Stegostoma tigrinum: one gene and its partner. The protein of the gene in region 2 interacts with the protein of the main gene of each other region in a pairwise test. Links are inferred from orthologs where the notes say so. Each region holds a gene or a part of one and is shown on either strand. Other genes may lie near its edges.

Region 1 (11,133 bases), on a different chromosome or scaffold from region 2:
ATCATGAATGTGAATTGCCAAATATGTAATCAGACACATTTTAAAAGAGTAGTTAGAATGATATTCATTTAAGTCATAAAATCATGCTAGTACAAGGAAATTTCTTTTGGGGAATTCTGCAACACTGCATACAATCTTCCCCCTGCTTCTAATCTGTGTGCTAATCAGGTGTGGATAGGTTGGATAGTCAGAGGGCTTTTCCTCAGGTTGGAAATGTCAAATAATAGGAGGCATAAGTTTAAGATGAGAGGAAGAAAGTTAAAATGAGATGTGCGAGCCAAGTGTTTACGCAGAGAATGGTAAGTGCCTGAAATTGTGACAGAAACAGATACGTCAGCAGCGTTAAAGAGGCATTCAGACAAACACAAGAATAGCAGAGAGGCACAGACCATGTGCAGGCAGAGGGGGTTAGTTCACGGTCAGTACAGACACAGTGCTCACAGTCATAATCATCCTATCTATTGTCCAAAGTTTTAAATCCATGCTCCTGTGTCCTTGTATGATCTGCTAAGGAGAACACGTCTCCTTTCTCTCTTTTATCTAAGTTGTCATGTTGCTCCATATCTTTATCAAACCCACCCTCAGCCTGCTTCACTGAAAGGGGAAGAGGGCTAGATTCTCCGGCCTAAACCTGTGGTTAAAATCTGTCCATGTGGAAAATGTACGGAAATCTACACCTGCAAGAACCCTTACATTCTCCCTGAAATTTGGTGACCAGATAGGCTGCAAAACTCTTTGTGACTTTACAAAAATTCATTGAAATACTTCTGATTTTTTTGTACTCAATGCCTCTATATGAAGACCAAGATCCTTCATGCTTTGCAGGCCTCTCTCAAGATGTTCTGCCACTTTTGAGGACCTATGCAAGTGAACCATCAGGTTCTCTGTCTCTGCACATATTTAGATCTATGTAAATTAAATTTAAATTGCCTGACTCTATCCCCATGCCTATGACATCAACTCAATCTTCTCTGTCTTCAATTCATCTGTCACCTGTTTGCCCATTTTGCTATCCTATTGCCACACTTCAAAATTTGGTATCATTTACAAGTTTGTAACTTTGCTTGGTATTCCAATATCTTAATCACATACATAAGAGCAGTGGTTCCTATGTGTGACCCCTGAGGAACGGCACTGTTTACCATCTCCCATTTAAGCAACAAACATTTGCCACAACTCTGCCTTTAAAACAATTATTAAATCCAATCTGACACTGCCTTTTCTTTCTATGAGCCTTTAATCTAATGAAATAGCACACATAATCTGAGAAAACAACCTGTTTTATTCACTAATGAAAAGAAGGTATCATTATTTATTGTAATATTTATCACTCATCTCTAATTGTTCTCAAACTGAGTGGCTTGCCAGGCCATTTCAGAGTGCAGTTAAGAGTCAACTACATTGTTGTGGTTCTGGAATCACAAGTTGGTCACTCTACACAAAGGTTAGCCAAATTCCTTCCCATTAGTAAGGCAACCAGGCATTTAAAATGGTTTAATTCTCAGATTTTTACTGAATTCAAATATCACTATTTCCCATAGTGTAAATTGAATCTATTTCTCCAAAGCACTATTCAGGGATTCTGGATTATGAGACCTGCGATATTAGTTCTAATCCCGAGTACTTTCAGACCTGGGTCATTAAATGGTCAGGAAAGTGTAACCTGAAGCATCTAGACTTCTAAGATGCATTTCCAGAAGGCACAGACCCCAGCACAAAGTCAAATCCTAACATCAGAATGTAAATTAAAGATCAACAGGAAAAACACAAAAGCTTTATGCACTGATCTAATTATACTGACTTGGCCACATTTGGAGCCTTCTGTGGTCTAATTAGCACTCTACAGGAAGGCACAGAGACTCCGAGATGGATTCAGAGCCAGTAGTGAGGCTGAACATTGTAAATTGCATACTTCTTCCCCTAACAAGTCAAGCAGATGAATTACAGGGAAAAAAAAATACATTAGATTGAGCCTAGGAAGAAGGCAGGACCTTTTCAATGTATAAATTATTAAATTCTGTAGATGAAGTCAACCTAGAATATTGCAAGTAATTTCAGGAAGTTAGATCAGATCACACGCATTTGTAGCGGTGCAAAGTTGTATTGACGCAGATTTTAAGCGGATTTTTGCATTGAAAGGCGAACGTCAAGCATATGCAATATTCTACTAGCCACATATTATGTAAGAACTGCAAGTGCTGTAAATCAGAAACAAAAACAGAAGTTGCTGGAAAGGCTCAGCAGGTCTGGCAGCATCTGTGAGGAGAAATCAAAGTTAACATTTTCGGTCTAGTGACTCTTCCTCAAAACCCAGATAATATGTTAGTAATCATTGCAAATGATGTTGAAGGGTGAAATTGGAGAAGATCCAAAAGGCCATTATGTCAAATGACATATCTTGTTTATTACTCTTATCCTTCCATGATAAATATTTCGAGTAAGGTCAAGGTACGTTCAAAAAGTAACTAGGTGATTTCCCTGTGATAGTGTGAACTGCAGATGCTGGAGAATCCAAGACGATAAAATGTGAGGCTGGATGAGCACAGCAGGCCCAGCAGCATCTCAGGAGCACAAAAGCTGACGTTTCGGGCCTAGACCCTTCATCAGAGAGGGGGATGGGGAGAGGGAACTGGAATAAATAGGGAGAGAGGGGGAGGCGGACCAAAGATGGAGAGAAAAGAAGATAGGTGGAGAGGAGAGTATAGTTGGGGAGGTGGGGAGGGGATAGGTCAGTCCAGGGAAGACGGACAGGTCAAGGAGGTGGGATGAGGTTAGTAAGTAGGAGATGGAGGTGCGGCTTGGGGGTGGGAGGAAGGGATGGGTGAGAGGAAGAACAGGTTAGGGAAGCAGAGACAGGTTGGACTGGTTTTGGGATGCAGTGGGTGGAGGGGAAGAGCTGGGCTGGTTGTGTGGTGCAGTGGGGGGAGGGGACGAACTGGGCTGGTTTTGGGATGTGGTGGGGGAAGGGGAGATTTTGAAGCTGGTGAAGTCCACATTGATACCATTGGGCTGCAGGGTTCCTAAGCGGAATATGAGTTGCTGTTCCTGCAACCTTCAGGTGGCATCATTGTGGCACTGCAGGAGGCCCATGACGGACATGTCATCTAAAGAATGGGAGGGGGAGTGGAAATGGTTTGCGACTGGGAGGTGCAGTTGTTTATTGCGAACTGAGCGGAGGTGTTCTGCAAAGCGGTCCCCAAGCCTCCGCTTGGTTTCCCCAATGTAGAGGAAGCCACGCCAGGTACAATGGATGCAGTATACCACATTGGCAGATGTGCAGGTGAACCTCTACTTAATATGGAAAGTCATCTTGGGGCCTGGGATAGGGGTGAGGGAGGTGGTCTGGGGGCAGGTGTAGCATTTCCTGCGGTTGCAGGGGAAGGTGCCGGGTGTGGTGGGGTTGGTGGGCAGTGTGGAGCGAACAAGGGAGTCACGGAGAGAGTGGTCTCTCCGGAAAGCAGACAGGGGTGGGGATGGAAAAATGTCTTGGGTGGTGGGGTCGGATTGTAGATGGCGGAAGTGTCGCAGGATGATGCGTTGTATACGGAGGTTGGTGGGGTGGTGTTTGAGAACGAGGGGGATCCTCTTTGGGCGGTTGAGGTGGGGGCGGGGTCTGAGGGATGTGTTGCGGGAAATACGGGAGACGCGGTCTGTCACTGGGAAAGCACAATAGTTTTTGCATTCATCTCCAATTACTTTCAGTCTCTTCCTGCTCTGGTATTTATATATTTAGATGTGAATTTCCACTTCGGTATTTGGGAGTAACATAGCATTGGGTGTTGGCTACTTGGTAGTGAATTGAATGATAATAAAAATTGAGTGGTTCCTGTAACAGGTGGGTAATTTGCAACATCCCATCTTACAAAGGGGCATTTGTGGTATAGTAGTAATTTCTATACATCTGCATCAGAAACCCTAGGTTCAACCAAGGCGAGATGATGGTTTGCTGGTATTATTGCTGGACTGTTAATCCAAGAGATCCAGGTAATGTGCTGGGATCCCAGATTAATGGCAGATGGTGGAATTAGAGTCCAATTTTTAAAAAATCTGGAATATGATGTTAGGGTTCGGATCGTCTAATGATGACTATGATTTCATTGCCAATTGTTGGGAAAACCCGTTTGGTTCACTCATGTTCTTTAGAGAGGGAAACTGTCATCCTTATCTGGTCAGGCCTACCTGTGACTCCAGACCCACGGCAATGTGGTTAGCTCTTAACTGCTCTCTGGGATGGGCAGTAAATCCTGGTCGAGCCAGTGCTACCTTCATCCCATGACTGAATAAAAAGTGTTCCACCTGCTCTAGTGGTGTGTAATAACATTTCTGTAACAGATTGATTCGAAAATGTCTTCATTTGTAAAAGAAAAGGCAATTTAGTTACATGATTTCTTGTCACATAAGAATTAGATCAACTGTTTTATTCCTGAATTGGAAAGTGAAAATCTACCTTGCAGTAAGAACACCCCTGATCATCCACCATTTATCACCTCTAAGCCCTTTCTTTCTAAGATAACAAGTGATGTGCTGGATGAACATAGCAGGCCAGGCAGTATCTGAGGAGCAGGAAGGCTAACGTTTTGGGCCCAGACCCAAAGCGTCAGCCTTCCTGCTCCTCTGATGCTGCTTGGCCTGCTGTGTCCATCCAGCTCTAGACCTTGTTATCTCAGATTCTCCAGCCTCTGAAGTTCCGACTATCTCTGAAACAATTTTTACCCTTTCTTTCTCTTTCTTTTCGGTAATGGACTGAAAATAACATTATGTGGAGGTGCTAGTATTGGGCTGGGGTGGGCAAAGTCAGAAGTCACACTACACCAGGTGCACCTGATAAAGGGGCTGCCCTTCAAAATCTTGTGTGGTTCCAAATAAGCCTGTTGGATCATAACCTGGTGTCGGACGATTTATCATTAGGTACAGCTGGGAGGAATAGAGGAAAATTCAGAAATAAAAGCAGGAACTGCTGGAGAATCTCAGCAAGTCTGACAGCAACCGTGGAGAGAGAAACAGAATTAACGCTTTGAATGCAGTATGACTCTCGTTAAGGATGTCCCAGTTTCAAAACATCCATTCACTTGTTGTTAAACAAAACTAATTCCTTCGCCTCCGCTGCATCTGCTCCCAGGATGAGGCATTCCACTCCTGTACATCCCAGATGTCCTCGTTTTTCAAGGACCACAACATCCCCTCCGCAGTGGTTGAGAACGCACTCGACCATGTCTCCCGCGTTTCCCGCACTTCATCCCTCACACCCCACCCCCGCAATAACCGCCAAAAGAGAATCCCCTAGTCCTCACATACCACTCCACCAACCTCGGGATACAACGCATCATCCTCCGACACTTCCGCCATCTACAATCCGACCCCACCACTAAAGACATTTTTCCAACCCCACCCTTGTCTGCCTCCCAGAGAGACCACTCTCTCCGTGACTCCCTTGTCCGCTCCACACTCCCCTCCAACCCCACCACACCTGGCACCTTCCCCTCCAACCACAGGAAGTGTGACACTTGCCCCCACACCTCCTCCCTCACCCCCATCTCAGGCCCCAAGATGACTTTCCACATCAAGCAGATGTTCACCTGCACATCCGGCAATGTGTTATACTGCATCCACTGTACCCGGTGTGGCTTCCTCTACATCGGGGAAACCAAGCGGAGGCTTGGGGGCCGCTTTGCAGAACACCTCCGCTCAGTTCGCAATAAACAACTGCACCTCCCAGTCGCGAACCATTTCCATTCCCTCTCCCATTCTTTAGATGACATGTCCGTCATGGGCCTCCTGCAGTGCCACAATGATGCCACCCAAAGGTTGCAGGAACAGCAACTCATATTCCGCTTGGGAACCCTGCAGCCCAATGGTATCAATGTGGATTTCACATGCTTCAAAATCTCCCCTCCCCCCACTGCATCCCAAAACCAGTCCAACCTGTCTCTGCTTCCCTAACCTGTTCTTCCTCTCACCCATCCCTTCCTCCCACCCCAAGCTGCACCTCCATCTCCTACGTACTAACCTCATCCCACCTCCCTGACCTGTCCGTCTTCCCTGGACTGACCTATCCCCTCCCCACCTATACTCTCCTCTCCACCTATCTTCTCCTCTATCCATCTTCGGTCGGCCTCCCCCTCTCTTCCTATTTTTTTCAGAATCCTCTCCCCATCCCCCTCTCTGATGAAGGGTGTAGGGCCGAATCGTCAGCTTTTGTGCTCCTAAGATGCTGCTTGGCCTGCTGTGTTCATCCAGCTCCATACTTTGCTATCTCGGATTCTCTAGCATCTGCAGTCCCCATTCTCTCTGATATCAATCTTTCAAATGGTGTCAAATTGATGCAACTAATAGTTAGAAACGAAAATGCCTCACACAGATAACAAGTGTCTTAATATGACGCCTCAGAATAGTGGAAGCGTATTATTCTAAAAAAAACACATTAAAAATTTGATCAGTGTGAAATTGCACTGCATATATTTTCAAATCAATCTGTTTAAAGACACCCCTCTGTAACTGCACTGAATAACCGGTACAAATGAAAGCCTCCTTATCTAGACAAATGATCGCTTGGTGGCACACGGAACTTTTCGCCTATTTTTTCAGCATTAGAGTCTTACCCTGTTTATTTTGAAAGTAGATCAGGAATTTCCTCCGATCTTCGTGCGCTTTGATCTCACATTCCCCTCCACCGGATCTCTTTTTGCTTTGGAAATAAATGGCGAGTTTACTTTTGACAGAGTCCAGCTCGACAGGCAGACCCTCCACTAACACCGGGAACCCTGCCATCCTTTCTCCTTTCTGGCTTGGCTGGGCTGAGATCACAGCCTCAACCTTGCGTCCTGTCAACACTGTCTGCTGGGGAAAGACGGGGGGAGGATGCAAACTGTGAGACCACCTCTTAGGGCGAACGCTGTTTACAGCTTACTTCTCCTCTGATCATTGCTCGGAAACATACGTCCGTGATGAGAATCGAAAGTGAAAGATTATAGGACTAAACGTGTGAGTGACTTTATATGGCGAGAGCCAATGTGTATTTAAAAATAACCAATGCCACCCAGGAAATTGTTGAATCGGCTCAGGTTCCAGCTTTCCGGTTGGTTCCCATCTGGTTGTCAAAGAGATGGTCATGACTGCTAGTTGTCCACTTTACTCACAGAGCCCAAACTCAACAACAACTTGCATTTACATGGGGCACTTTGATGCAGTGAAATGTCCCAGTGCGCCTCACAAGGAAGTCAGAAAATGAAATTGGTGACCGATGGAGACAATATGAAGAGAGGTGACTAAAAATATAGGTTTAGGGAGTTTGAAAGAAAAGACAAATTTGAACATGGGATGTAGGCGTCACTGAATGGGCTAGCTTGTATTCCCTCATTGCTTCTTGACCTGAGTAACTTGCTGGGGCCACTTCAGAGGGCAATTAACAGTCAACCACATGGTTGTATGCCTGTAGTCACATGTTGGCCAGACCAGTCAAGATAGTCATAGACATATAGAACTGTACAGCGTGGATACAGGCCTTCCAGTCCAACTGGTCCATGCCTACCAGATATCCGAAGTTAATCTAGTTCTATTTGTTAGCATTTAGCCCATATCCCTCTAAAACCTTCCTATTCATATCATTCCTTCCCCAAAGGATATTAGCCAAGTATGTAGGATTTTCCTGACAACTAACAGTAGTTACATGATCACTGTTATTTTTCGTTCCACATTTTTATTTAATTCAAATGTTAACAGCTGGCTTGGTGAGATTCAAACTCCTGCGCCCACATGAGTCAGGGATTCTGGATTACTAACACTACCACTACACCACTTCCTCTCCTAAGGTCAATTTAGACAGAGTATCCTGTTACTGTTAGAGGAGCTATTTCAATCTGTAATTCTTCTGAAAATGAGAATTCAAGGGAGACAAAGGTTTCACAGAATTGTAAGACCAGGGGCGCCCATGGAGGTGTTTGCAAGTAGGCATAATAATTTAAACATCACCGGCAAGGACCCTATGTGAGTTAACCCGTGCTAAGGACTTTGTGGGGGTAAAAGACTGAATGTCCTGCCACCTTCTGTGCTCTTGCTTTGAATCCCAGAACTCATATAGTATAGAAGCGGACCACTTGCCCCACTGACCCTCTGAGGAGCATCCCACCCCCTACCCCATCCCTGCATTTTCCACCCTAGACACTATGGGCAATTTAGCATGGCCAATCCACCTATCCTGCACATCTTTAGACTGTGGAAGGAAATCCACACATATATCGGGAGCACATGCAAACTCCACCCAGACTGTTGCCCAAGGCTGAAATTGAACCCAGGTTGACTGGTGGTATGAGGTAGCAGTGCTAACCACTGTGCCACCAGGTGACTGCTGGATTAAGAGGTTAAAATGGAAGAACTTCATCCCTTCAGGATTAAGGAGGCAGAGAAAGAGGTAGCTTTAGGAGCATTCCAAGGCGACTGTGTTGAGGCTAAGCTTGCTTAACCTTAGGCTAGTCACATGTAAACAAGATACCATCACGGGTAATGTGTGGTTCTACCAAAAAGAAGATTAACACAAAAGCCTGCAACATTTCACAGAATGTTTTCAGCTCCTGGGAGGCCAATGACCTATCATACCTGCGTTGGCGCTCTGAATGAGTGATGTCCACTCCCCCGCTTTAAAACAATTCCTCCAAACCTATGAAATCAGAAGCTTCTTCGAATCTCTCAGTGGTGAAAAGTTGTCATGCACCAATATAATTAATGTCAAGTGGCAGATTTGTTCTCTTAGTTAGTCAAACATTCTTCAGAGTTCTGTGAAGTCTGCTTCTTGAGTAATGCTACACTGATCACTGGTATTTGGCTTTGGAGTTTGAAGTTCTTTGATGTACTGTAGATGTTTGAGGATGAAGCATCACTTCTGCGTGGATTTGAGAAATGTTTGTTTCTAATAATGCACACTGGTCCACAAAGTATTGGTCTCTCTTCTCCAAATATACTCACCACATTCCCTTAGTTTTGAGTGGTGGTCTGCCTGCATCATGTAATGCTCCATTAGAACGTTGTAGCTTCATTCTCCTCAGCTAATGGATTTTCTGAACTAATAAGGTTAGATTTGGAGTTCGAATTAGAATTAGATGTTATTGTCACATGTATTCAATTATTGGAATGCAGGAGTACAGTGAAAAGTGCACAATGTCACCATTCCAGGTGACATCTTAGTACCCAGGTACAAAATCTTAGACAAAGTAGAAAAATAAGGAGATAAAGCTAAAAGTTCAACATTGTCGTCCTTCTTAGTGTAAAGTAGAAAAATAAAGTTAAATGTTCAACATTGAAGTCCTTCTTAAGTGCTTAGCCATGCTGGGCTCGCATTCCCCACAAGGGTTTGATCTCCTCCACATTGGGCTCAATCTCCCCAGGCTCATCACTGTCACAGCAACAGGGAGACCTCGATTGCTGCTGCACTGGGCTCGATTTCCCCCCGTGCTGGGCTCATTCTCTTCTATGTTAAGCTTGCTCTCCTCCAATTTGCTCTCACTCTGTTGTTCTCCCCCACATTCTCTCATTGTACCCCACACTGGATTGCCTTCCTCCACAGAAGATATGTAGAAGGTAAGTAAGTAAGAAGGTGATTTGCCCCTGTGTCAATAAGACCATAAGTCATTGGATAATAAACTACCTCCGACAACATGGGACAAAAACAAAGTTGCTGGCAAAGCTCAACAAGTCTGGCAGCATCTGTGGAGGAGAAAACAGAGTTAATGTTTCGGGTCCGGTGACACTTCCTCAGAACTGTTCTGAGGAAGGGTCACAGGACCCGATACATTAATTCTGTTTTCTTCTCCACAGATGCTGTCAGACTTGCTGAGCATTTCCAGCAACTTTGTTTTTGTTCTTGATTTACAGCATCCGCAGTTCTTTTGGTTTTTATTTAGTATCCGACACCATGGGCTTGTATTTAATAAGCAGTCTGATGTGTGGTACCTTAACTGACACCTTTGAAAACACAAGTATATTACATTTATTGCATCCCTTTTATTTATCTTGCTTGTTACTTCTTTAAAGAATTATAGTAAATTTCTCAGGCATTATTTCCCCTTCATGAAGCCATGCTGGCTCTGCCTGATCATATTATATATTACTAAATGTTCTACTATTACCTCTAATAGACTCGAACATTTTCCCACAACAGACGTTAAACTAACCTGTTTTTTCATCTGCTTTCATTTGTAAGTAAAGGTGTTTCACTGGCAGTTTTCTAATCCTCTGGGGCTTTTCCAGAGACTACGATTCTGGGAAAAATACTAAGAGTACATGCACAATTCCATCGGGTCCAGGGGATTCAACAAACTTTAGTCTTAGACCCTTCTTCAGAAATGGGGGAGAGGAAGGGGGTTCTGAAATAAATAGGGAGAGGGGGAAGGCGGATAGAAGACAGGTCAAAGAGATTGGGATGGAGCCTGTATAGGTGAGGGTAGCTGGGGAGGTAGGGAGGAGATAGATAAGTCAAGGCAGGATGGACAGGTCAGGGAGGTGGGATGAGGTTAGTAGGTAGCAGATGGGGGTGGAGCTTGAGGTGGGAGGAGGTGATACATGGGAGGAAGGACAGGTTAGAGAGGTGGGGACGAGCTGGGCTGGTTTTGGGATGCAGTGGGGGAAGGGGTGATTTTGAAGCTGGTGAAGTCCACATTGATATCATTGGGCTGCAGAGTTCCCAAGCGGAATATGAGTTGCTGTTCCTGCAACCTTCAGGTAGCATCGTTGTGGCACTGCAAGAGGCCCAGGATGGGTATGTCATCTGACGAATGGGAGGGGGAGTTGATATGGTTCGCGACTGGGAGGTGCAGTTGTTTAACGCGAACCAAGCGTAGGTGTTCTGCAAAGCGGTCCCCAAGACTCCGCTTGGTTTCCCCGATGGAGAGGAAGCCACAACAGGAACAGCGGATGCAGTATACCACATTGGCAGACGTGCAGGTGAACATCTGCTTGATGTGGAAAGTTGTCTTGGGGCCTGGGACAGAGTTGAGGGGGAGGTGTAGGGGCAGGTGTAGCATTTCCTGGGGTTGCAGGGAAAAGTGCCGGGTGTAGTGGGGCTTGAGGGGAATGTGGAGTGGCCAAGGGAGTCCCAGAGAGAGTGGTCCCTCCGGAAGGCAGACAAGGGTGGAGACAGAAAAA
Region 2 (10,850 bases):
GGCACACATCAGGACTGTGATGGAATACTCCCCACTGGCCTGAATGAGTGCAGCTCCAACAACACTCAAGAAGCTCGACACCATCCAGGACAAAGCAGCCGCTGTGTGCATAAGTGGCTCAAATGAGGGATTGAACTGTGATGCATTGTGGTCGCTCTGGGTCAGGATGTGAGGGTTTCAGAGAGGAGAACGTGCAAGGGAACTTTGCAAGACCAGTACAGGGATGAGGGTCTTCAGATATGTTTGGAGACTCGATCAGCTGGGATTGTTCTCCTTTGAGCAGGGAAGATTAGCAGGAGATTTGATTTGGGCAAGCTTGAGGCAATTGGTGAAAGAGCCAGAATGAACCTTATTGGAGATGAGTGCCTGTGATCAAGAGCAGGCTGTCCGAAAGGTTAATAGAACCAGCTTCAATCATAACTTTCAAAAAAGTATTGGTTAAATACAGAAGGCTCGGATATAAAGTGATTGTTCTGTTCTCATGTAATCTCATGTTATAAGCCACACCATTTAAACTAATGGGACCAGAATCACCTTACAGCTGCTACTGGTAAGGAAAGTTCATGTTCTACAAATAGTGGCCTAAATTCTTCAATCGCATTAAAGTCAATTTGGGTTGAAGAAACGCATGTTATCGCAGAACTGACTGTACTTGGCTTCTGTGCGTGAAGAGCGGAGTTGCGAGCTGGTGCTAATTGGATAACTTTTTGAAATGGCCAGCAGTTCCACAATGGGCCGAATGGCCTTTCTACGTGCTTTATGGGTGTGTGATTCTCCATCCACACAAAGTGCTCTGGAATGTTTCTGAAGGACCTGGCCGACTTGGAGCATTATAAAAATACCTTCCTTTCTATCTTTTAAAGGCAGACAATTGAGCCAGAAAAGTTTCTGTCTCCGGGACTACAGAGCAGGGGATAAGAGAAACAGAATAAAATTGTCCCACAAATTCCACCAACATTATTTGTTTGGAAAATGACTTAATCTTTTCCCCTCTGCTTAGAGGTAGTTTCTAGGGTGGTTTCACCTGATGCAGGCAACTCAGTTTTACCAATATTGGTGTAAAATGTACGCAGCAACATTTTCAAAGTGAAATTATGTTGACACCAAAGAGAATGGCACATTAGACATGAACACCTGGGACTGCAGGCCGCAAACTGCATTTGGATTTGGATCTCAGGCCTTTTTAAATTATAGGAATTCTCTGGCTTTCGTTGTTTTGCTAGGGTCAGCGTGACCTAATGCTTTTAATAAGGACCCTCTGCCTTGCTCCCACGACTTCTGTAATTCCCCCTTTCCTCCTCCCTTCAACCCACCAAGATCTGAGCACTTCCTAGTTTGGCCGATTTATACATCAGCCGTTGTTCGTTTGGTAGCACCCTCATCTCTGAGTCAGTGCATCTCTATCAAAGTGGTAGAAACATGTTAATGGGCTCACAGAATCACAGAGTTGTAGCGATGTGCAGCATGGAAACAGAGCCTTTGGCTTAACTCATCCATGCTGACCGGATATCCTAAATGGATTTATTCCCATTTGCCAGTTTTTGCCATATCTCTCTAAACCCTTCTTATTCATGCACATGTCCCAATGACTTTTAAATGTTGTAATTGTACCAACCTCCACCACCTCCTCTGGCAGCTCATTCCATACACGCACTGCCCACAGCATGAAAAAGTTGCTCCTTAGGTCCCTGTTAAATCTTACTCCTCTCACCTTAAATTTATGCCCTCTAGTTTTGGACTCCCCTACCCCGGGGAAAGACCTTCGCTCTTCAGCCTATCCATGCCCCTCGATAAGATCAACTCTCAGCCTCCAACATTCCAGGGAAAATAGCCCCAGCCTTTCGGTCTCTCCCTATAGCTCAAAGCCTCTAACCCTGGCAACATCCTTGTAAATCTTTACTGAACCCTTTCAAAGTTAACAACCTATAGCAGGGAGACCAGAAATGAATGCAGTATTCCAAAACGTGGCCTAACCAATGTCGGAATGAAATATGGGCAGATGGAAAGATGTGTGAGGGGCTTCCAGGCTTTAGGGCCTCGATGACTACAGGTGTGGTAGCAAAATGTGGAGTAAAGGCAATAGCAGTTGTCCAAAATTCAAATGATTACAGAGATATCAGGGGATTGTTTTAACTGTACCAGCCTCCTTCAGTTGTGTCTTGGCCGGAAATGTCAACTTTCCTGCTCCCCTGATGTTGCCTGACCTGCTGTGTTCCTACAGCTCCACGCTGTGTTGTCTCTGACACCAGCATCGGCAGTTCCTACTATCTGTGGGCTAGTTCTGCCATAAAACGCGTTTTGTTAATGCAAATTGACTGTAACGCGATTGATGAATAGTGGATGCAGTTTGGATAATGTGAACTTTCTGCTGTACAAGTATAATGATTTTCTACAGCGATTTCCCTATAACATGATTTTCTATGGCGCAAGGTCACAAAAGAATGCAACTGTTGGGTTTTGGAGAATCACCTGTTTCTGTCAAGATGCCCCTTAAATGTTGCTATTGCGTCCACCTCCACCACCTCCTCTGGCAGCTCATTCCTGGCACTGACCACTCTCTGTGTAAAAAAACCTCCCTCTCACATCTCCATTAAACTTAACCCTTTTGGCTTAATAAAAACCGAAAGAACTGCGGAAGCTGTAAATCAGGAACAAAAACAGAAGTTGCTGGAAAAGCTCAGCAGGTCTGGCAGCATCTGTGAACTGAGGGAAGGGCCAGTGGAACTGAAATGTTAATTCTGTTTTTTCCTTCGCAGATGCTGCCAGACCTGCTGAGTATTTCCAGCAACTTCTGTATTCGTTCCTTTTGGCTTATTCCCTAATAATTGGCATTTCTACCCTGGGAAAAACTATTCATTCTGTCCATGCTTCTTGTAATATTGTAAACTTCGACCAGGTCACACCTCAGCCTCTGAAGTTCAAGTGAAAACAAGCCGCGTTTGTCCAATCTCTCCTCATAATACCTTCTAAACCAGGCAACATCCTACCAAACCTATTATGTACTCTCTCCAAAGTCTCCATGTCCTTTGGGTAGTGCGGAAACCAGAGCTGTATGCAATAATCTAAATGTTGCCTAATTAAAGTTCTCTACAGCTGCAACAGGACTTGTCAAATCTTGTACTCTCTGCTGCAATGATGTGTGCCATATATCTTCTTGATGACCTTATCCAATAGTGATGCCACTTTCAGGGAACTGTGGGCCTAGATCCCTCTGTATGTTGATGCTATTAAGGATTCTTCCATTTACCTTTTACCTATCTCCTACATCAGATCTCCCAAATTGCATCATCCCACGTTTGTTTGGATTAATCTCCATCAGTCATTTCCCCTCTCAAGTCTCCAGCCTATCTATACCCTGCTGTATCCTATGGCAATCCTCATCACTGTCTCTAGCTCCCCCCGTCTTTGTGTCATCCACAAATTTACTGATGAAACTGCCCACATTTTCCTCCAAATCATTTATATATATTACACACAACCGAGGTCCCAGTACTGATAGCTGCGGAACCCCCACAGGCCGAAGATCTCTAGTCAGTAAAAACACTCTTCACAGTTACTCTCTGTCTTCTATGACCAAGCCAGCTCTGTGTCCATCTGACCAACTCATTGCAGATCCCATGTCTTTGTATCAGCCTGCCACGAGAGACCTTGTCAAAGGCATTGCTAAACTCCATGTAGACAACATCCGCCACCCTGCCCTCGTCAATCATTTTGTCACTTCCTCAAAAATGCAATCAAGTTTGTGAGACACAACCTTTCCTGCGCAAAGCCATGCAGCCCATAGCTAATAAGTCCATACTTTCCCAGGTGTGAATAAAGTCTGTCCCGAAGAATCTTTTCCAACCATTTCCCTATGACTGACATAATTTCCTGGATTACTTCTATTGCCTTTTTTAAACAAAGGAATAACGTTGGCTAGCCCCCAGTCGCCTGAGACCTAAATGTTCTCAATTACACTATGTGACACAGTTCTACTGATTTAAAATCTTTATTATTGACTGTTTGATTGATTTTATCGTTACTTCATAGTGCCTGTAAAATGAAGGAGCGTAATTGAGGTTTAAATTTGTTAGCATGGTACCCACTGAACAAAACATCTGGACAAAACAGGGTCAGCACCCGTAACTTCCCTCGTGCTCTCAATTTCTGCAATTATACCTTCTCAAATTCAGAGATTAAGTTAGTTTTGTCTTTTAATACTGATATTATTACAACACTGCCTTTGTTTTCTGTGCATGCAACAGATTGAGAAGTTAGATGTAAACTCACCTTAGTCTGGGCTGTGTAACTTGGTGAAGGCAGACTCACTTTCTGGAGTGACAGAACAGCTGAGGAAGCTGCGTGGCTGGAGTAATATTAGCTAAAAATACACCAGGCCAACAGTGAGTGAGGGGGAAGGGCCTGTGAGATTATACCAGTCCTAGTCCTTGGATCCCTGGAATGACTCAACTAAATCACAGCTCTGTCTCCCCACCAATGCGCGGCTCTCTATTTTTGTTTTGGAATGCTCACTAGTGTTTAAGTGACATGAAGAGTCATGTTGCAGGCACTAATGACAGTGTTGGCAGGGCTAAGCAGACTTGCATACTCACACAGGCATACACACATACACATATAAACACACACGCGTGCACACACACATACTCACATATACACGCACAGGCACACACGCACACATGCACACACACACATATGCCCACACACATATACACAAAGATACTGACACATATGTGTATTGAAACATATATGCGTGTGCACACAAACTCACACATATTAACACATATGCATATTGACACGTATGCACACGCACACAAATACACCCATATTGACACATATGTACATTATTCAAACACTTAGGCACACACATCCATGCATGCACAAATGCTCATATTCACATGAAGCTCAGTTATCAGGGAAGGTGATGACAGTGCAAGAAAATGGCCTTCAAGGAGATATTCAGCCATGATCTAGAATGGCAGAGCAATCTCAGTCGGCTGAATGATCTACTATGCTCCTGTGTGCTCCTGTTGTAATGATTGTAATGAGGTCAGCCAGTTGGACCTCACAGAATATGAGTTCTCTGATTGGGACTGTTAACTTGGTCCAATCAGGGAGCCCTCACTGATAGATATAAACAGGAGTGTCAGAGGGCCTCCTTGCTCTGAGAGAGCTGGGTCAGTGTCAATGGCTTCTCATGTGTAAATAAAGGGTGACTTGGTGACCAGGATGAGTGTATGTATGCATGTACTCACTCTGTGGAGTTGTTTCTCCAATATTGCTATATGCTCTCACTCTCAAAACTGCAGACATATCACAACAACATAGGCATACTCCCACTCACTTACACAAACACCAAAACCCACACAAGTCATTGTATCCACTCATATTCATGTACACTCACCAAAACACACTCAATATTCATGTGCATGTGCGCGCGTGCGCGCACACACACAACACACACACACACACACCCTTGCACCACCCCTCACATACACACACAGCTTCACATCTCCCCTCTCTCTCTCTCACACACACACACACACACACACACACACACACACACTCAGCCTCACATACACACACCCTCAAACACAGCCTTACACATCTGTATATAAAAACCCACTCACACAGACCCTTATACACGCATCCTCATGCACACGTCCTTACAAACACATCCTTGCACACACACGCTTCCACATGAAGCCTCATATACATTATCTCACACACACACACACACACACACACACACACACACACACACACACACACACACACACACACACACACACACACAGAGAATGTACACAAAAAATGAATTAACAACAGAGTCAATTTGCTTCAATGCTTTGAATTGTGTCATTCTCTAGTAATCACCTGCAAACAATGACAAAGTGGGAACAGGGAATGCATGTTGTAAAATATGAAATGTGCATCAGTGTTTGGTTAAACAACATTGATTTCCCTTAAGGATAGCAGAAACATGAAATCACTTGCCTAATAGTGAGTGCTGAGGATCAACTGCTACTGCTGTAGAGACTCCAACTGATTGATAGATTTGGACTGAATATCAAGGCATTTGGAGTGAGGAGGATGGGGGCATTGAGTGGTGCGGAGCTACAGATGGCTCACACTACAAGCTGGATAAGCTTCAAGGGGCTAGACATCCTCTGTCTCCTGTACCACTCGTATCGTGACACTGAAATCATTTGGAAACTACCATCTTTCAGGATGAGTTCAGTCTGGTGTAGCTGGAGGGGAATGCAATCTGCTGATCTGGAGTTTTTTTCCCTTTTATTCATTCACGGATGAGGGCGTTGCTAGCCAGGCTGCCTTATTGGCGCCATCCCTAATTACCCAGAGGGCATCTCAGAGTCAACCATGTTGCTGTTGGTCTGGAGTCAGATGTAGGCCAGACCAGGTAAGGATGGCACTTCTCTTCCCTAAAGGACATCAGTCAACCAGATGGGCTTTTCCTGACAATAGACAATGGGTTTATCATCATCATTAGATTCTTAATCACAGATATTTATTGAATTCAAATTCTACCATCTGCTGTGGTGGGATTTGAACTCAGGTCCCCGGAATTTTGTCAGGGTCTCTGGATTAACAGTCCAGTGATAATACCACTAGGCCACTGCCTCCTACTAGTTACGAAGATTCAGAATTGGAGGGGCCATTCAGTTCTTCTGGTCTGCTTCACCATTCAATTAGTGCATGCCTGAACAGTTTGTAGTTTGAATTTCAGGATCCACCCAACCCCCTACCCGATAATCCCTTGCTGAGTGGCAACCCATCCTCCACTGCAACAAAAACATTCAATGATCCCACCTTCACTGCGTTCCGAGGCAGGGAGCTCCAAAGTCACACGGCCCTGGTTTTGCCAATTGGAGGAACTAATAATCCACCCATTCCAGTCAGCCATTGCTGGGCTTCTCAGTCAGAAGGTTGTGAGATCAGCTCCTGCTTCAGCTCCAAATCCAGGTTTACACTCCCTCAGCAATGCTGGGGCTGTGCTGCACTACTGAAGGTGAGATGTTAAAATGAGGCTCTCAGGTGCAAAAAACAGCTCCTACAGCAGTCTTTGTAGAAGAATGTGGTGTTGAGTGAAATAACGGGTGTAAAGAGTTAAATATTAGAGACTGCGTTAAGTTCCATCCAATTTTTAAAAAAATTCACTCGTGAGATGTGGGCATTACAGCTGGTTAGCATTTATTGCCCATCCCTTGTTGCCCTTGAGGAGGTGATGGCGAATCACTTGCAGTTTCATGTGCTGTAGGTAGTCCCACACTGTTGTTAGTGGAGTCTGTGATGTCACACAGATGATAGGGAAAAGTCTGAACAGCTCAGTATCTTGTAGAATGGAGAGCTATATCCCAGGGATCCACATAGTTATACTAATAAAGTTTATCTTACTGACATCCCCCTTACCCAATTACCATCATGCAATCAATTAAATCTTGGTGAAATCTCCAATAAACCCACGCGCGATTTTCCCTCTATCACACTGTAGACCTTCAGGCTCAAACAAGAGCCTTGCAAGGGGATGGTGACAGCAGACTACCCCAACCACAAGTTGGCAGTGTTTGGCATCACAGCCCATGCAACATGGTGATCAACAAGAGAGCATCAGTTCTTCAGGTAGTAAGGTTGCTTTGAAGAAGATAACAGTGATGAGCATTCCAATGGACTCATGAGTAGAAACTTCCAATTGTTAAGTACTTGATGGTTTTAAGAACAACTCATACACACAGCAGGTGGCTGCCTACAACATATGAATAAAAAATTGGCCTGTAGACAAACTCATAAAGTGAACGAAGGAGAAACTGTACTTAATGGTAAAGCAATTCAAACCTGGTAAGTGAAGTGCTGCAGGAGGAGGGAGCTGGAAGGTGAGCCGGCAGTTGCAGCATCCATTGGGAGGTAAGGATCTGTACAGCATTCCTGATTAGAGGCTCAAAAGGAAGTAAATGGTATTTGGAATTCTACAAGTTAAATATCTTTGTTAGGCATGTGACGATGCTGTGGCTTTAAGAGGTGTATTTTTGTCCTGGTTTCTTTTAAGAGAGAGATTGGAACAAGAGTCAATAAATGTGAAGCTGGAGAAGCACAGCAGGTCGGACAACATCCGAAGAACAGGAAGGTCAATGTTTTGATCTGAAAACCCTTCATCAGGGCTGGGGAGGCAAGCCCAGAAATAAATAGATGGATGGCCATGGGGCTGGGGGGAAGAGTAGGTGGGATGGAGCTAAGTGGATGCTGGGAGGGGGTTATTGTGGTGGGTCACTGGGAAGGGTGGAGTGGATAGGTGAGTTGGAAGTTGGCGAGGCTGGAGGAGATGGGATTTTCAAGTTGGTGAAGTTGATATTCAGGGCCAATAGGCTGTAAGCTCCCAGCAAAATATGAGGTGATGTACCCCCAGTGAAGGAGGTCAAGGATGGACATGTCACCAGGACAGTGGGAGAGAGAGTTAAAGTGGATGGTAACCAGAAGGTCGGGTTGGTTGCTGCGTGCAGAGCACAGATGTTTTGCAATCCATTCCCCAACTCTGTATTTGGCTTCCCCAATATAGAGGAGGCCACATCGGGAGTAATGGATACAATACATGAGGTTAGATGAAGTGCAAGTGAATCTCTGCCAGATTCTGAAGGATTGTTTGGGGCCTTTGATGGAGGTGAGAAGGGAGGCATGGGGCAGGTGTTGCAACTCCTGCAGTTGCGGTTACCATCCACTTTAACGGCAGTGGTGGAGAAGTTGGCGGGGAATGTAGAGCTGATGAGGGAGTCATGGAAGAAATGGACTCTGTGGAAAGTGGACAGGAATGGGGAGGGGAATGGTTTTTCGGTGGTGGGATCTGGTTGTGGGTGGCGGAAATGCCAGAGGATGATGCATTGGATTTGGAGTTTAATGGGGTGGTACGTGAGGATTGGGGATTCTATCTTTATTGTTGTTGGTGGGACAGCATTTGAGGGCAGAAGCATGGAAAATGGGGGAGATGTGGCTGAGGCCATTGTTAATAACAGAGGAGGGGAAGCTATAGTCTCTAAAGTAAAAGCGTATCTGGGAAGTCCTAGTGTAGAACGCCTCATCCTAGGAGCAGTGGAGGTGGAGGCAGAGGAATTGAGAATATGTGATAGCATTTTTACAGGAGGGTGGGCGAGAGGAGGTGTAGTCAAGGTAATTGTGGGAGTCAGTGGGTTTGAAATAGATGTCAGTGGTGAGTCGGTTGCTGGAGATAGAAACAGAGAGGCCTAGGAAGACGAGAATGGTGACAGAAATGGTCCAGATGAAGTTGAAGGTGGGGTGGAAGGCATTGGCAAAGTTGATGAACTGTTCGAGCTCCTCACAGGAGCGTGAGGCAGCGCTGATACGATCATCAATGTAAAGGAGGAAAATGTGAGGGATGGTGCCGGTGTAGTTGTTGAAGAGGGACTGTTCTACAAAGACGCAGGCGTAGCTTCGGCCCATGCAGGTGCCCAAGGCCACCCCTTTGGTTTGTAGAAAGTGGGAAGAATCAAAAAAAATTAAGGGTGAGGGCTAGTTCGGTGTAGTGAATGAAAGTGTCAGTGGAGGGGGACTGGGTGGGCATATGGGTCAGGAAGAAGCAGAAGGCTTTTATACCATCATTGTGGGGGATACAAGTGTGCAGGGACTGGATGTCCATGGTGAAGATGAGGTGTTAGGTGTTGGTGCATTGAAAGTTTTGGAAAAGGTGGAGGGTGTGAGTTATGTCCTGAACATAGGTGGGGAATTCCTGGACAAGAGGGGAAAGAACAGAGGTCGAGGTAGGAGGAGATGGGCTCCATGGGCCAGGAACAGACAGAAACAATTGGCCGACTGGGGCAGTCAGGTTTATGGACTTTGGGAAGGTGGTTGAAATGGGCATTGCGTGGTTGGAGAACTATCAGGTTGGAAGCTGTGGGTGGGAGATTCCTGAAGTGATGAAGTTGTTGTTGATCTGGGCAATGATGGTGTGGTGATCAGAGGTGGGGTCTTGATCAAGGGGCAGTGGGAGGAGGTGCCAGGGAGTTGATGTCTGGCCTCAGATTGAACAAGATTGAATGAGTTGTCTGTGTTAATATAAGTAGCTTGTGAGGCCTTGGGGTTTTATTTTAAAGTTGGAACAATAGAAGCAGCCTGTGTGGGTGTGGCCATCTCTCACAGACCAGGATTTCTAGTTTCTTTTAGTTTTTAGGTTTAGCTTTAAACAGCTGCTGTTGGAATATCAAACAGGGCTGATGCTGCTGGGGAGGGATAATGGGAACTGCAGATGCTGGAGAATCTGAGATAACAAAATGCAGAGCTGAATGAACACAGCAGGCCCAGCAGCATCAGAGGAGCAGGAAGGCTGATGTTTTGGGCCTACAGCCTTCATCAGAAATGGGGGAGGGGAAGAGGGTTCTGAAATAAATAGGGAGAGAGGGGAAGATGGATAGAAGATGGATAGAGGAGAAGATAGGTGGAGAGGAGGCAGATTGGTCAGAGGTGGGGATGGAGCCAGTAAAGGTGAGTGTAGGTGGGGAGGTAGGGAGGAGATAGGCCAGTCCAGGGAGGACTGACAGGTCAAGGAAGCGGGATCGGGTTAGTAGGTAGGAAATGGGGGTGTGGCTTGAGGTGGGAAGAGGGGATGGATGAGAGGAAGAACAGATTAGGGAGATGGAGACAAACTGGACTGGTTTTGGGATGCGGTAGGGGGAGGGGAGATTTTGAAGCTGGTGAAATCCACATTGATACCATTGGGCTGCAGTGTTCCCAAGCGGAATATGAGTTGCTGTTTCTGCAACCTTCGGGTGGCATCATTGTGGCACTGCAGGAGGCCCAGGATGGACATGTTTGTGGAATGGGAGGGGGAG

The links.
Region 1: the proteins of txlnba (region 2) and nmi interact in binary tests that used the Homo sapiens proteins (3 or more experiments, as listed by UniProt). The two-hybrid records come from large-scale screens. The link is inferred for Stegostoma tigrinum from reciprocal best matches to the Homo sapiens genes TXLNB and NMI.

Annotation. Positions count from the first base shown.
Region 1 is NC_081360.1:86,437,670-86,448,802, reverse strand, and holds the start of nmi (N-myc-interactor), read left to right. Parts: upstream 1-6,896; 5' UTR 6,897-6,981; intron 6,982-11,133. Other genes in the region: parp14rs3 (protein mono-ADP-ribosyltransferase PARP14), read right to left, coding at 6,600-6,768. UniProt on the Homo sapiens protein: Acts as a signaling pathway regulator involved in innate immune system response.
Region 2 is NC_081362.1:90,530,399-90,541,248, forward strand, and holds the start of txlnba (beta-taxilin), read right to left. Parts: upstream 4,371-10,850; 5' UTR 4,270-4,370; intron 1-4,269. UniProt on the Homo sapiens protein: Promotes motor nerve regeneration. May be involved in intracellular vesicle traffic.